Linked DNA regions of Danio rerio. The protein of the gene in region 2 purifies or fractionates together with the protein of the main gene of each other region. This does not show direct contact. Links are inferred from orthologs where the notes say so. Each region holds a gene or a part of one and is shown on either strand. Other genes may lie near its edges.

Evidence for each region. Proteins that work in one complex are often made in the same cells at the same time.
Region 1: the proteins of rnf146 (region 2) and parp2 purify together in Homo sapiens (affinity purification with mass spectrometry; 4 studies listed by BioGRID and IntAct, counting the BioPlex papers as one, with this or other methods). This does not show direct contact. The link is inferred for Danio rerio from reciprocal best matches to the Homo sapiens genes RNF146 and PARP2.

The regions. Positions count from the first base shown.
Region 1 is NC_133177.1:40,865,463-40,872,256, reverse strand, and holds the end of parp2 (poly [ADP-ribose] polymerase 2), read right to left. Parts: intron 5,711-6,794; coding exon 5,647-5,710; intron 5,496-5,646; coding exon 5,361-5,495; intron 5,247-5,360; coding exon 5,119-5,246; intron 4,956-5,118; coding exon 4,856-4,955; intron 4,726-4,855; coding exon 4,627-4,725; intron 2,426-4,626; coding exon 2,301-2,425; intron 2,215-2,300; coding exon 2,055-2,214; 3' UTR 1,851-2,054; downstream 1-1,850. UniProt on the Homo sapiens protein: Poly-ADP-ribosyltransferase that mediates poly-ADP-ribosylation of proteins and plays a key role in DNA repair.
Region 2 is NC_133198.1:43,852,698-43,860,093, forward strand, and holds the start of rnf146 (E3 ubiquitin-protein ligase rnf146), read right to left. Parts: upstream 4,361-7,396; 5' UTR 4,141-4,360; intron 821-4,140; exon of another isoform or gene 784-820; intron 1-783. UniProt on the Homo sapiens protein: E3 ubiquitin-protein ligase that specifically binds poly-ADP-ribosylated (PARsylated) proteins and mediates their ubiquitination and subsequent degradation. May regulate many important biological processes, such as cell survival and DNA damage response.

The sequences.
Region 1 (6,794 bases), on a different chromosome or scaffold from region 2:
GAATTTTTTTTTCTTTTCTTAAATATTTCCCAAACGATGTTTAACAGAGCAAGGAAATTTTCACAGTAAGTTTGATAACATTTTTTCTGGAGAAAGTCTTATTTGTTTTATTTCAGCTAGAATAAAATCAGTTTTACATTTTTTAAAAACATTAAAGTCAAAATTATTAGCCCTTTTAAGCTATATTTTTTCCAATAGTATACAAATAGAACAAACCATCATTATACAATAACTTGCCTAATTACCCTAATCTGCCTAGTTACGCTAATTAACCTAGTTAAGCCTTTGAATGTCAGTTTAAGTGTCTTTATGTGCTGTCATCATGGCAAAGATAAAATAAATCAATTATAAATGAGATATTATGAATATTATGAACATTTATGAACATATAAAATATTATGTATACAAATGTGTTGAAAATCTCTGCGTTAAACAGAAATTGGGGGGAAAAACAGGGGGGCTAATAATTCCGACTTCAACTGTATGTAAAAATCCCTGACTCTCAATGTTTGGAAAAACACTTTTGAAATTCAATATTGCAGAAATTCCATGATCTGTGGAAATCCTGGTCCACTCTTTATGATTGCATTTAAAAATGATGAAAATGATAATCTGTGGAGCTCTTTTTGAGCCTTTTCCAATTATTAAAAATGAGGAAAAAGAAATGGTAATATATATAAACCAAGACCACCCAGCATAAAAAAGAAAGCCAGACCCCTTCTTTTCCTTCTTGTTTCTGTTGTACATCTGCTGTGTTATTGCGTTGCATTTAAAGAAAACCCTGTCTGTGTATTCTGTTGTTGCCCATATCAGTGTTCATGTCATCCGTCCGCCATTCATATCATACCATTTCACTTCTTAATTTAATTCATTTACAAGGCTCAGGCGAAGCAGACCGGTAAGAAGATCATGTGACACACATTTTGCAACATGTAGGACTACTCTTGTTTTAAATACATTAGGTTAGGGGCGCCACCCCTTGTACTTTTGGATAGATTAAGTAAGATAGTTAGGATACTCAGTAGGCTTCTTTGTGTGTTAATTTATTTTGTTTTCATTTTATTTAGTTAGTTCGATGTTTATGGAGAGTTAGACATTGTGTGAGTTTTGTTCTTTTCTTTATTACCGCCCATGTCCTTTTCTGCCAGCTCTCTTGTTTTTCTCCGTCTTTGTGTTTTTCCCATTGTTGTACATATTTGAAAAAGTATATATTTTTTATTAGCTTTTTTTTTTTTTTTTGATTGATTCATTGTTTTTGTTCCCTCTGTGAATTGTAAATAAAAGTCAGTTTTTGGTATATCGGGTTTTGGTTGACTTTTGCACTTCATTCACTGTGTATATAAATGTCTTTTTAATTGTACTTTAAATGTCAAACCCCATTCACCTAAACCAGGGGTGGCCAACTCTGTTCCTGGAGAGCCACCTTCCTGCAGATTTCAGTTTCAACCCATATCAAACACACCTGCCTGTAATTGTTGCATGGTGTTCAGGTCCTAATTAATAGTTTCAGGTGTGTTTGATATGGGTAGCAACTGAAATCTGCAGGAAGGTGGCTCTCCAGGAACAGGGTTGGCCACCCCTGACCTAAACTAACATCAGGGGTTTGTAACAATTATATAATAACCATTTACACAGACAAAGGGTGGTCCAATACTTCTGTATAAAACCTGTTAAAACACACCAAAGGTGGATTTAATCGGCATGTGCATTTCATAAATAACACTTAATAAAGCGTTCTAGTAAATAATGAATTAAGAATCATCTTTCTCTTCTTATGTTTACGCTATTTTGTATTAATTTTGATTTATTGTTACTTATTCATAATATTAAATACTTAAAATCACAGTATATCGGTAGAAATATCATTTTATTTTGATTAATTCATTCATCACTTAGAAAATGTCCCATATTAGTCATATTCAGGTTCCTTTGAAAGTTAAAACAGACATTAATGTTACAATATGCACATTTTTCCTGGAGGGAAACACTACATAGCTACATGTTTTTTCCTTCACCTCAAACTGTTCAGACTGTCTGTGTGCAAAATGTGAAGCTCACCAAAGTGATGAGAAGTTAAACTGAACTCTAAGGAGGTACTTCATCTGAATCTGAGCAGGGTTATAAACAATGTACTCATTATAAAGAAGAGAGTATCCTCCTTTCTGGCCAACACCGGTCTTCACAGAGGGTCCCAAGGGCACAGTCACACCATTCCTGAAAGACAGCAGGAGAAAACGTCAGTACAGCACTAAGGATGCAATTGTGTAAAATCTCAAGTTAAAAACCGAAAAGAGACTCACAATGAAACTGATTTTTTGGGGTCTGGTGCAGTTTGACCCAGACCTTTTGTGCTATGCTTCCCAGAAGGCAGTTGGTCGGCATTGTAATCTGCGTCCAAAAGTTCATTACTATCTCCAAGGGCAACCTGTGGTAAGAAAAGTAGACAAAATGACACTTCAGCAGTCACGTTATTTTAAAATGGCAGTTAGAGATGGGGTGTTATTCACACTTTTAGCTATTTTAGTTTGTTTGCTCTTGGTTCACTTAAAAGTGAACCTAAAGATATTAAACAAATCTTTTCTGATGTATATTTTGCAAACAGAACAGCCGTCCCAAACAACGTTGTGTGATGATGGTTAAATGTGCTCACTGAATGTTTTAATCAGCTGGGAGTAATACAATCAGAAATTCCTCTGTCATACACAGAAATAAAGATCTGGAGTAATAAGATGCATTTATAATCACTGTATGAAACAGCACAACTTTGATGGGAAATAATAAGTTTTGCTGAATTGTTTGGTATTTTTTGTGGTCGTATCTTGTGGCACCACATCCTGTTATTTCAGAGGAAGAGGACAGATATTCATGTATTAAGAGGTCACGGTCTGCTTTAAATGGCAGCATTCAGACTTATAAAAGACACAAAAGACTGTTTTTTTCTATTTACCATATTTTCAAGTAATGTTGAAGTCAAATTTCTTAATCACCTGAAATGCGCTGTGACTAATTCCAAAGGGACTTATTCAATACAATTAATGTAATGCAAGCAAAACAAGTGCAAAGTGTGCAAACATTTACATTTCTATTAAATCAGAGAGAAGCTTCAGTGCTTTCAGATTTGCTTTAAATAAAATGTATGTGTATGATAACTGTATAGTGAAATCCACTATAACTTCAGTTTGTTTATACTTAAAATTTACCATTTACTCTATTATATGTAAATGAATTGTGGGGGGCTAAGTTCAGGGATATAAAATAAATTTTTATAACATTTGTAATTAGGGGTGTGACAAGACACTCCACGAGACATGAGATTGGGTTCAGAAGAAAGAGACAAGATGAGATTTTTAAACTATTTTTAAAGAAATCTTCAATGATGAAATTCAACAGGAAAAAAACTATTTAGGTACTTTTTTTAATCAACTTGTAATGAATGTTATTTTACTTATATTTTAATTAATTCTATGCAGAATTCTTTGCTAATATATTATTGTAAAATCTTGTTTATGTATATTTTTAAATATTAGCAAAATACTTGTTAATACATGAATGTAAAATAGATGTATATTTACCTGAAAAAAAAAAATCACAAAATGCAAATAAAAAATGCTTTTTAAAACCATCCTGTATTGAATGTTATATTACTTCTATTTTAATGAATTCTATGCAGTAAAGGACATGCAACCCTGCAAAATATTTTGCCATAAACTCTACTAACTTGCTTTTCCCTGTACAATTTCACATGAGAATCATATCATAGAATGAATCATAGAATCAAACCCCTTTTTTTCCCAGACAACAAAAAAAGTGTGTTTGTTGATGATGATGACAGGTGTGTGTCTCTAGGAGTTCACTGTGTGTGCGCACACACCCAGAGATTTAGAGAGGTGTGTGTCTGTGGTCCTTTATTGACTTGGTAGGGGCAGAAAATAGTGTCAAACAACCGAGTGTATATGGCTTACCCTGTCAAAAATTTTTGCCTAAAAGTTCCACATGACGGTTATAGTTTGATTACAGTGCTTACATGTCTGTGCTGCACTTCAATAGCAATACTCCACAATTCTTAATTCGATTTGTGTTTATGATGATTATGACTATTTTATCACATGTTAATGTCCATGATTAATTTGTGTGATGGCAGTTTATGCAGCCTTTGCTTTTGGATGCGACAACCTCTGGACTCCAACAAAAAAAGCGGTTACGTCACACCCGTCCAAGCAAACGAGTAACGGGCAACAGAGGCAGCCCGGGTTGCCAGGTGTGTGGAAAGCACTTGATGTGCGGTTCAAATGCAATCCTGCCTCCAATCTTCAGTGATAAATCCACCCTCACACTATATGATAACATCACAACTCAAGAGACAACTTTTCATTTCAACGAGAAATCTCATCATAATCTAGTCTCACAAGATCTCGTCACACCCCTACCTGTAATGTTATTTTTTTGCTTTATTCAGGCCTACCAGTAGTCTATTTTAAATTATTTCTGAATTGAATCATAAAATGTGACAAATGCATAATATATTTAGGTCAGTTGTGTACCTGTAAATTCCAAAGTATCAGGGCTTCCACAAAAACATTAAGCAATCCTGACAGCAGATCTGCTGTTTAGATACTACAAACCAACCTCGCTCAGCAACAAGAGTCCCTGGTTGTTCTTCTGACTGGCAAAGCAGTAATTGGCACTTTTGGATGACATGTCTGCGAAATAGATCCCCTTACCAAACTAGACAGAATGGAAAACAAAAGAAAACCTGAGTGAGTTTGAGATTTTGTTAACTGTTCCCCTTAAAGATTGCTATCATATTGGTCTAACACACAAAGACTTTTTTTCATGCAATATGTGTGACTCTCACCATGTATCCAGTCACAGGAGCCTCTGCAGGGGCCACTCGCAGACCCTGACTCAGGATCCCCACCCAGTTTGACAGACGAGAGCCGTGCCACAGGAGCATCCTGCATCCCCAAACACACAAAAACAACTTGTACTACATTCAAATATATGGCAATAATATTTAAATACAGAAAAGCCATGCATTAATCCAGAGTCTAAGGGAGTTCCTGTTTACGGAGCATTAGATAGGTCATAAAGTGTAATTGATTGCAGGTGGTTTAGTACCTGTTTTGCAGCTCAGAGTTGAAGTTGTCCTTCTCGACCTCTCGTTCCACAGCAAAGACATCCAGAAGAGTCATTGTGTAGTCAGTATGGGTGGGTGCATGGGTGGACTTGAGATATTTCTCTATAACCTTTAGATAGAAACAGCGTGTGCTTAAGGACAAAATTACATATTTAAAAATAAAAAAATGTAACATCCCACTGAATATTATATTTCAAAATAAGACAAGTCTTGTGTACTGTACCTTGTATTCATTGCTGTCAGTATCCAGTGGTTGCAGTTGGCAGTTAAGAGAGTGATACTGTCTGTCTAAAGGATGCTCGTCACTCTTAACATTAGACTGAACCATTTTAACCGCTATCTGAATGTCACTTAGAGTCTACAAAACAGAATACAATGACATTTTTTTGCTATGAGTGTGTACTTGTACAAATTGACTAAAAACACAAATCTAAAAGAAAACTGTGAAATATAATTGGCCAAACCCCAGCTATTTGCTCAATAAAAAAGCAACAATTAGAATAACAAACCTCGAGCAAAGTAATTTTCTCCTTCAGCTCCTCCTCTGAGCGAATTATTGGGGGTGTCCGCAACCTAAATGAAGATCAACTGGTCAGACAAACATAAATAAGCACACATACACTCCAGTAAATGTACAATGTGTCATAGTAGCTGTTACAGGGATAGTTCGCCAAAAAATGAAAATTCTGTCATCATTTACTCATCCTTAGCTTGTTCCAAACCTGTTTGAGTTTCTTGAACATTAAAAAAGATATACTGAAATATACTGCCAGACTTTTTTTCCAATGTTGTTCAGTTTATCTTGTAACAAAAGAAATGTATAAAAACTATAGTTTGCATTTATTTAATTAAAATATTTGTTAATTGGAAAAAAAAGTGTATAAAGTAGGGATGCTCCGATCAGGATTTTTGCAGCTGATACCGAGGCGAGTACCAATTCCTTGTCACAGTGATCGGACAATACTATGTAAGTACCGATTCTGATGCTTCAAGCTTTATAACACATAAAGAACATTTTCCCTCTTTCCACAATACTTAAGTGGAGATCTCACCTTATCCAAGAGAAAAAATTAAGGATGCTGCATATAATCCCTCAAACACGTCTCTTATAACCTTTTAGGTGAGCCTGTCATGGCCAGAAGCAACTTCACAGAAAAATTACAAACAATGCAATTTGAAAACATTGCAAATGATAAAAGATGAATTCAACATGTTTCAATCAAGAAAAAGTTTGGAGCGCATTAATCCATGACTCTTTTACTAAAAGAAAATAGGCCTATAAAGTACTGTTTATTGCAATAAGTATATTAAAATAAGTTATATTGTTAAATATTCATGTTAAAAATATGTTAAGTTTAAGTTTTATTTTATTTAATCATTCCAGCCAGCTTTTAATGAACCTGTAATATTGTCAAAAACACAGACCTTTCACTTGTTATATGTAAAAAGGCTTTAATACACGTAGGACTGTTCAAATATTTTGCTCATCTCCAACTACTGACAGAATTTCCGGAGAGTCTCACAGCAGCTCAATAGCTCTATGACAGAGAGGGGGATTTGCACTTGCGATATTTTTACTGCTCTATTCATTTAACCTAACAAACGTAAAGCTAAAAAAGATGACACATTATTTACCTCCTCACGTGTTGTGGCTGCT
Region 2 (7,396 bases):
TTTAAAAATATACATTAAAACATATCTTAATAAATACATAAATAAATAAATAAACAAACACAGAAATCATAAAGAAAATTAATTATTTTACTACATTTTTCACAATACATTTATAGGGCTCATTAAAACCTTTAATTCCTTTAAAAAAGCCACTTTTTACCTTTTTACTTTTTAATAATTGTTACTTAAACTGTGTAAATATATAAGCAAGGCAAGTTTATTTATATAGCACATTTCATACACATTGGCAATTCAAAGTGCTTTACATAAACAAAAATAAAAGAAACAAGTCAAATAAAAATAAAAACGAATAATAAAAATGAGTAAAAAACAACAACATAAAAACAGGTAAAATGTGATATAAAAGAATGAATATAGACAATTATCAACTATGAAAAAGCTCATATCATTACAACACTAATCAGTATACAAGTCTATACAGTAGACTCATATCGGATATGAGATTTTTGTAATAATGCAGAGAATCAGAATCTGCCTACACACTGCTGTCAGCAATGTAACAAACGGGACACTGTTTACAAACTACATTGCCTAAGTCGGCTAAAGTCACGAGCAAACAGCAGCAGCTTGAGTTCTTTGTTCATTGTGGCGATTAAAGCTCTTGCATTTTTAACTACTCATCTTATAAGTACTCCACTTTAACAAGCAAGGGTACTATTTATGCAATACATGTAAATAAAGCCTGCGCTACACACCAAAAAAAAAACATCTGTTAATATTTGAAAGCAGATTAAAAGGCACAAAAACTGATCATTTACTCACCCTTCCCTTAATCCAAATCTGTTTGACTTGCTTTCTCCTGTTGAACACAAAAGAAGATACTCTGAAAAATGTTGCAAACCTGTAACCATTGACTTGCATGGTATTTCCTACAATAGAAGTCAATGGTTACAGGTTTTCAGCTTTACTCAAAATCTCATATTAGTGTCCAACAGAAGAAACTCATCAAGGTTTGAGGATGAGTAAATGTTCAGTTTTGGGTGAACTATCTCTTTAAAAGTGAAACCAGAAACACAATGGATGAGAGAAACCAACTACTTCGCAATCTTGACAGTCTGTCACAGATCTGTAAAGTTGTCTCTAATACATCCGTCTGGCTTGATCGCACAAATCATGTAACGTGCTCTTAATAGCATCTGGCCCAAATCAGACGCAGAAATGATCTAAATATATCATGACCCAAATCCTTTACAGGCAAACCATTTACGGGACATTTTATGATGCTAGAACTGAATATGCTACAATATCAGACATTCATTTTAGGTCGGGTTTATGAACAAGAGGGGGGAAAGAACCATTGAAACAAACCGATAAAAGAAATACTAAAATGTTTTGTGTTTGTTAAAAAAATAAAATAAAATCAGTTATGTTGTATAATCAATACTGATAACTAGCCCACACAAAATACACAGCCGCAGAAATCCACAGATTTTTGAGCCCATCATTCATTCTATTAACTTTTTTACAAGTTAATGCGTGTAAAAAAATAAATAAATAAATAAAAATTTATATATATATATATATATATATATATATATATGTTCAGTTTTTACACTAATTACAGTAATATTATTATTTAATAAAATGCTATTTTTTAGATAATGTATGTACAATACAATTTGTAAAGTAATACTTTGTCCATTATTGAATGTATTATATGAGAGACCTGCTGAAGCTTTAATTTGATTATTAACCTTTTATTTACTGTATGTGTGGTTTTTCAAATCGCAAAATAATTTCTTAACAAAATCCTGTGCAAAAATAGCAAAAAATATATAAAGTCAGTATAATTTGTCAGTATAATGGCAGAATAATAATAATAATAATAGCTCTATTTAAATCTAGATTGACTGGGAAGTGAACAATCATGTGTAAAAAATTTAAAATAATAATAAAAAAGGTTATCATTGTACAAATAATTTTTAAAATATAATAAAATGAATCAATTTTAATCTTCAATGAATAAAAGAATCCTGCGATGGGACTACTGCAGATAGACATTGTGAATAGGAAAAATAAATAAACCGTCTACAATGAGCTAAGTTTAAAGTGACAGAACAATAATAGTTATACAATCGTTTCATATTTAACATTTATATGTAAATGTTTTTTCCATCATACAACATAAACATGTTGTAAATATTAATAATAAAATCTAAAAATGTCAATTATATTTCTATATAAATATATAAGGGCTGCAAGATATTGTAAAAATCTGACATTGCAATATTTTGTTTTGCCATAATAAACATATACGATATAAATTAAAACTTCACCAGATAATTTAAATAGCTTTATTTTTCATCTAGATCATCTGGGGAGTCTTTTTCTATGCAGTGCATCTCCAAAAATTATAATAAATTACAAGCAAAAATAAATAAACAGTGCTCTGTGGTTTTCCGAACAGTCTAACAGTATTCAAGTACAAAAACAATCAAGGGTATAAAAAAAAAAGTTATTGTATAAATAATAAAAAACAAAAAAAGAATAAAATGTATTAATTTTAACCTTTAATAAATAATCTAATCCTGCGATGTGACTATTGTAAATAAACACATTGCGAAAGTAAAAATTAAAGTCAGTAGATTCAGTCTACAATGAGCTTGATTTAAAGTGGTAGAACAATAATAGCCTTACAATAGTTTTGTATTTAACACTTAAATGTGTATATATATATATATATATATATATATATATATATATATATATATATATATATATATATATATATATATATATACACACACACACATACATATATACACACACACATATATATATATATATATATATATATATATATATATATGTGTGTGTGTGTGTGTGTGTGTGTGTGTGTGTGTGTGTGTGTGTGTGTGTGTGTGTGTGTGTGTATGTATGTATGTATGTATGTATGTATGTATATATATATATATATATATATATATATATATATATATATATATATATATATATATATATATATATATATATATATATATGGGCTGCACAATATTGAAAAAATCTGACATTGTAATGTTATGTTGTGCCATAATATAAATTGTAATATTAATAAAAGTTAATGATTTTAAAAGCCCTTTTCATCTAGATCAACTGTGAAGTATTTTTTTTATGCAGTACATCTGCAAAAATTATAATAAGTTATGAGTAAAAATAAATAAACAGTTCTTTATGGCTTTCCGGGGAGTCTAGCAGTATGCAAGTACAGAAATAAAAAAAAAAAATCAAGTGTAAAAAAAAATTGTATCATATAGATAACAAATTATTAAACCGATTATAATTTTATTGTATAAAAAAAATAATATCGATGCTCAAACGATATAAGTGTATATATATATATATATATATATAAATATATATATATATATATATATATATATATATATATATATATATATATATATATATATATATAATAGTAATACCATCCATTAACTTATTTTGTATTATAAAAATAATTATGTCAAATACAAACACTACACTACTAACGTTAGACATAAAACGTGTAAACAAAAGTAACAAAGGCTAACTTAGGCTGATTGGTTGAGAACAATATAATTTAAAATATGTAATAATACTCATACAGCAAATGGTTATATTGACAACAAAATAGACATATTGAAAACGACACTGTTAACAGTAACGATAGATCCGTTATGTTATATTGCATCAATAAAACACAATATTGGTTTTATGTAGGTTAGCAGAAATGGGATGAGCGTTCTTTTAAATTGCATTACAGGCCCAAATCCCTCAACAACTCAACAGAAAACACAAAAATCGACCTATGTACACATTTAACTAGTACATTAACCAATGATATCTCTACAAACACTTTCAAACGTGATATTTCTGAGGTTTTGAATGTGCTGATGTTGAGATCTGATATTTGATAGATCAGATTGAGGCCTGTAGACAGGACAACACCCTGACCAAAACACAGCAAGAACAGCCTTTTTCACATTAAAAAACAAACCCTCGACACTTCAATGTTGTCGAAATATACAACACAAACATGTAAAATGGCATATCTTCATCATCATTCGGCTTACTTGAATATATATTTATATTTTTGGCGATTTTGCTGCGTCTTCTCCCAATGTCTTTCAGTTTACTCACCTGACAATGTAGCCGAATTTTCGCCTTTTTTAAGCGACGGTTAGATCTGGCTCATCTGCTAGTCACCGGATGATCGATCATTGTTCGTTTATTGATGTGAAATGATCGGTAACGCCAGAATTCGCTCGACACAGATGAACACAATAATGTTTTCACGGCTCCTCTGAGATAATAAGACGGCTGAAGTGTGTTCGTGCGCATCCGCTCTGCGCAAAACCTGCGCAGAACCCTCCGAAGTGGGAGTCCCTTATATCAAGAGATACACGATTGCTCGTGTTTTCAAGTATGCTGACTGACCGTGAGAAACAATACCCGAACGCCATGCATCCAAATCCTCTTGAAACCCAGCATAAAAGGTGCAAATCATTTAAGTATTTGATATAAGTACAATATTTTCGAAGTATTTTCTAAATATATGTTGTAGGTTTTTCAAACAAATAGCATGGCCTACCAGAATAGTTCAAATGAACTCAAATAAGAGTCTGAAGAGTCGTTGTGTTTATATACATTTATATATTATTGTTGCCTTATCAGATAGTAGCATACACTTTGAAGGTTTTATGAGTCTTCTTACATGTTTTAAATGAAATAACTGATGGACCAATTGAGGCTTAATAGACAACTGATGTTAAGGTATGCTTTTTTCGACATATATAATGTATACCATGGTATTTTTTTAAGTAGAATTTAGAATATCATGTAAATATTCTATCTATCTATCTATCTATCTATCTATCTATCTATCTATCTATCTATCTATCTATCTATCTATCTATCTATCTATCTATCTATCTATCTATCTATCTATCTATCACACACCCACACACATACATACAACAGTTAAAATAATATTATATTTGTTCATATACATTAAATTAGACAGTTCTTTGTTAAACATGGAGCTAATCTAATGAAAAAACTAATGATAATGGTCTACAAATGTATATGTAAGGGAAAAATATTACGTAAAAATGTAAAAAAAAAAAAAAGAAAAACATAGAGAAATAAAAAAAAATGCATCAAGTTATTTGTTAAAGATGTTTAGGAACCAACTATTATTTTAATGAATATAATTAATAAATCTGATTTGTTTAAAAAAAAAAGATTATGGAGGCCGATACCTGCAAAAAGATCGACCAATGATGGCATTTACTTGCCCGCTCTATTAATTTTTAAAATATTTATTCATGCAGGAATGTATGTATTTTTATATGTATTTATTTGCATATTTATTCATGGTTTTATTTATGCATGAATTTGTGAATTTATTTGCACATTTATTTATCTATTTGCATTTTTATTTATTTATTTATTTATTTATTTTATTGTTGTAGCAGGTTTTGTCCTCCATTCAACAGGATTATACAAATTAACAAAACTTAGACGCTTGAACCTTCAAAAATCTCTCTCTCTCTCCCTCTCTCTCTCTCTCTCTCTCTCTCTCTCTCTCTCTCTCTCTCTCTCTCTCTCTCTCTCTCTCTCTATATATATATATATATATATATATATATATATATATATATATATATATATATATATATATATATATATATATATATATAATAGATCTAGTTGTGAATTTTCTTTGACATGGCAAAGTCTCACTCTCACATGGTGTCAGACTGCCTTTCTGAGACTGACCACATCCGTCCATTTAGTATTTTATCTTCAACAGTGTCACTAGATGGCACAATTGTGCCAGGCAGAAGAAGAAAAAAAAAAGTAGGAAACAGATGCTTGTCCTTTGGGGATTTGCAGTAAATCTGTCTACATAACCAACTAATTCAACTAGAAAAGAAATCTATTTTTATTTGTTGCAAGTAGGTTAAGGCCACGTCACATTGTAGTTGTACTCCAAACCAGACGCTTTCCTATTAAACAGCTCCTGAAAACTCAACACCTGGTGCAGAGGATCAGATTATAATGTTGGCGTCTTTCCATGTTGTGCTCGCCGAACTGCATTAATCTCAATTATAGGAGGCAGTACAGTAATAAACAGTTCCAGTGCCTTTCCTAAAATATGATATTCACACATACAAGCCTGCAGGAATTGGGCATGTGCACCAGACACGCTTGCAGTCCATCTGCAGCCTTGTTTTTGGTGTATTACACTGTAAACTCTCATGTTGCTGGATGTTCTTTGTCACATCTGTGCTCAAGGGAATGCCATTTCATAGTAGATCAAATAACTCTTCTCTGTTTCCTAGTGTTGTGATGCAGAGATAATCAGTTGATGCGTGCAATCGTGTGTAATACACAGCATTAAATGAGAGATGTGCTTAAATTAGAACGGAAAAAAGAATTCTTATATTCCCTGTGGCTTTGTTACGCTAGGATGGCTGTGTTGTAGTGGAAGTCTTAAGTGTGTGTGTGTGTGCGTGGGTGCCATATGCATGAAATCAATGAGTGCTCATTTTCCACAGCTGTTTAGTACGACGCATACAAACCCTCTCAGTGTGAATGACAGTGGCCACAGGAGATCTTTCATACGAGACCTCCTCTGAGGATGCTTCATCCCCATAAGTCTCTATTTTACCTCTGCTCACCAAACTTTCCTTAAAGAAACATTTTTTATTTATTTATTGGGAGTTATGAACTAGGGCTGTGCAGCATCATTACTATTGTTACAGTATATAATTACCGGCCACTTTATTAGGTACACCATACTACCCTTTTTGCCTTCAGATTTGCCTTAATCCTTTGTGACATAGATTCAACAAGGTGCTGGAAAAATTCCTCAGAGATTTTGGTCCATAATGACATGATAGCATCACGCAGTTGCTGCAGATTTGTCGGCTGCACATCCATGATGTGAATCTCCCATTCCACCACATCCCAAAGGTGCTCTATTGGATTGAGATCTGGTAATTGTGGAGGCCATTCCATAATGACATGATAGCATCACGCAGTTGCTGCAGATTTGTCGGCTGCACATCCATGATGTGAATCTCCCATTCCACCACATCCCAAAGGTGCTCTATTGGATTGAGATCTGGTAATTGTGGAGGCCATTTAAGTACAGTGAACTCATTGTCATATTCAAGAAACCAGAGATGATTCGCGCTTTATGACATGGTGTGTTATCCTGCTGGAATTAGCCATCAGAAGATGGGTACACTGTGGTCATAAAGGGATGGACACGGTCAGTAATAGAGCTGTGCGATTAATCGAATCGCAATTTGAAATGTTGCGATTAGCTAATCGCAACAGGCTGCAATATGAAATATATGTGTATTATTTAATTTACCCCGCCCAG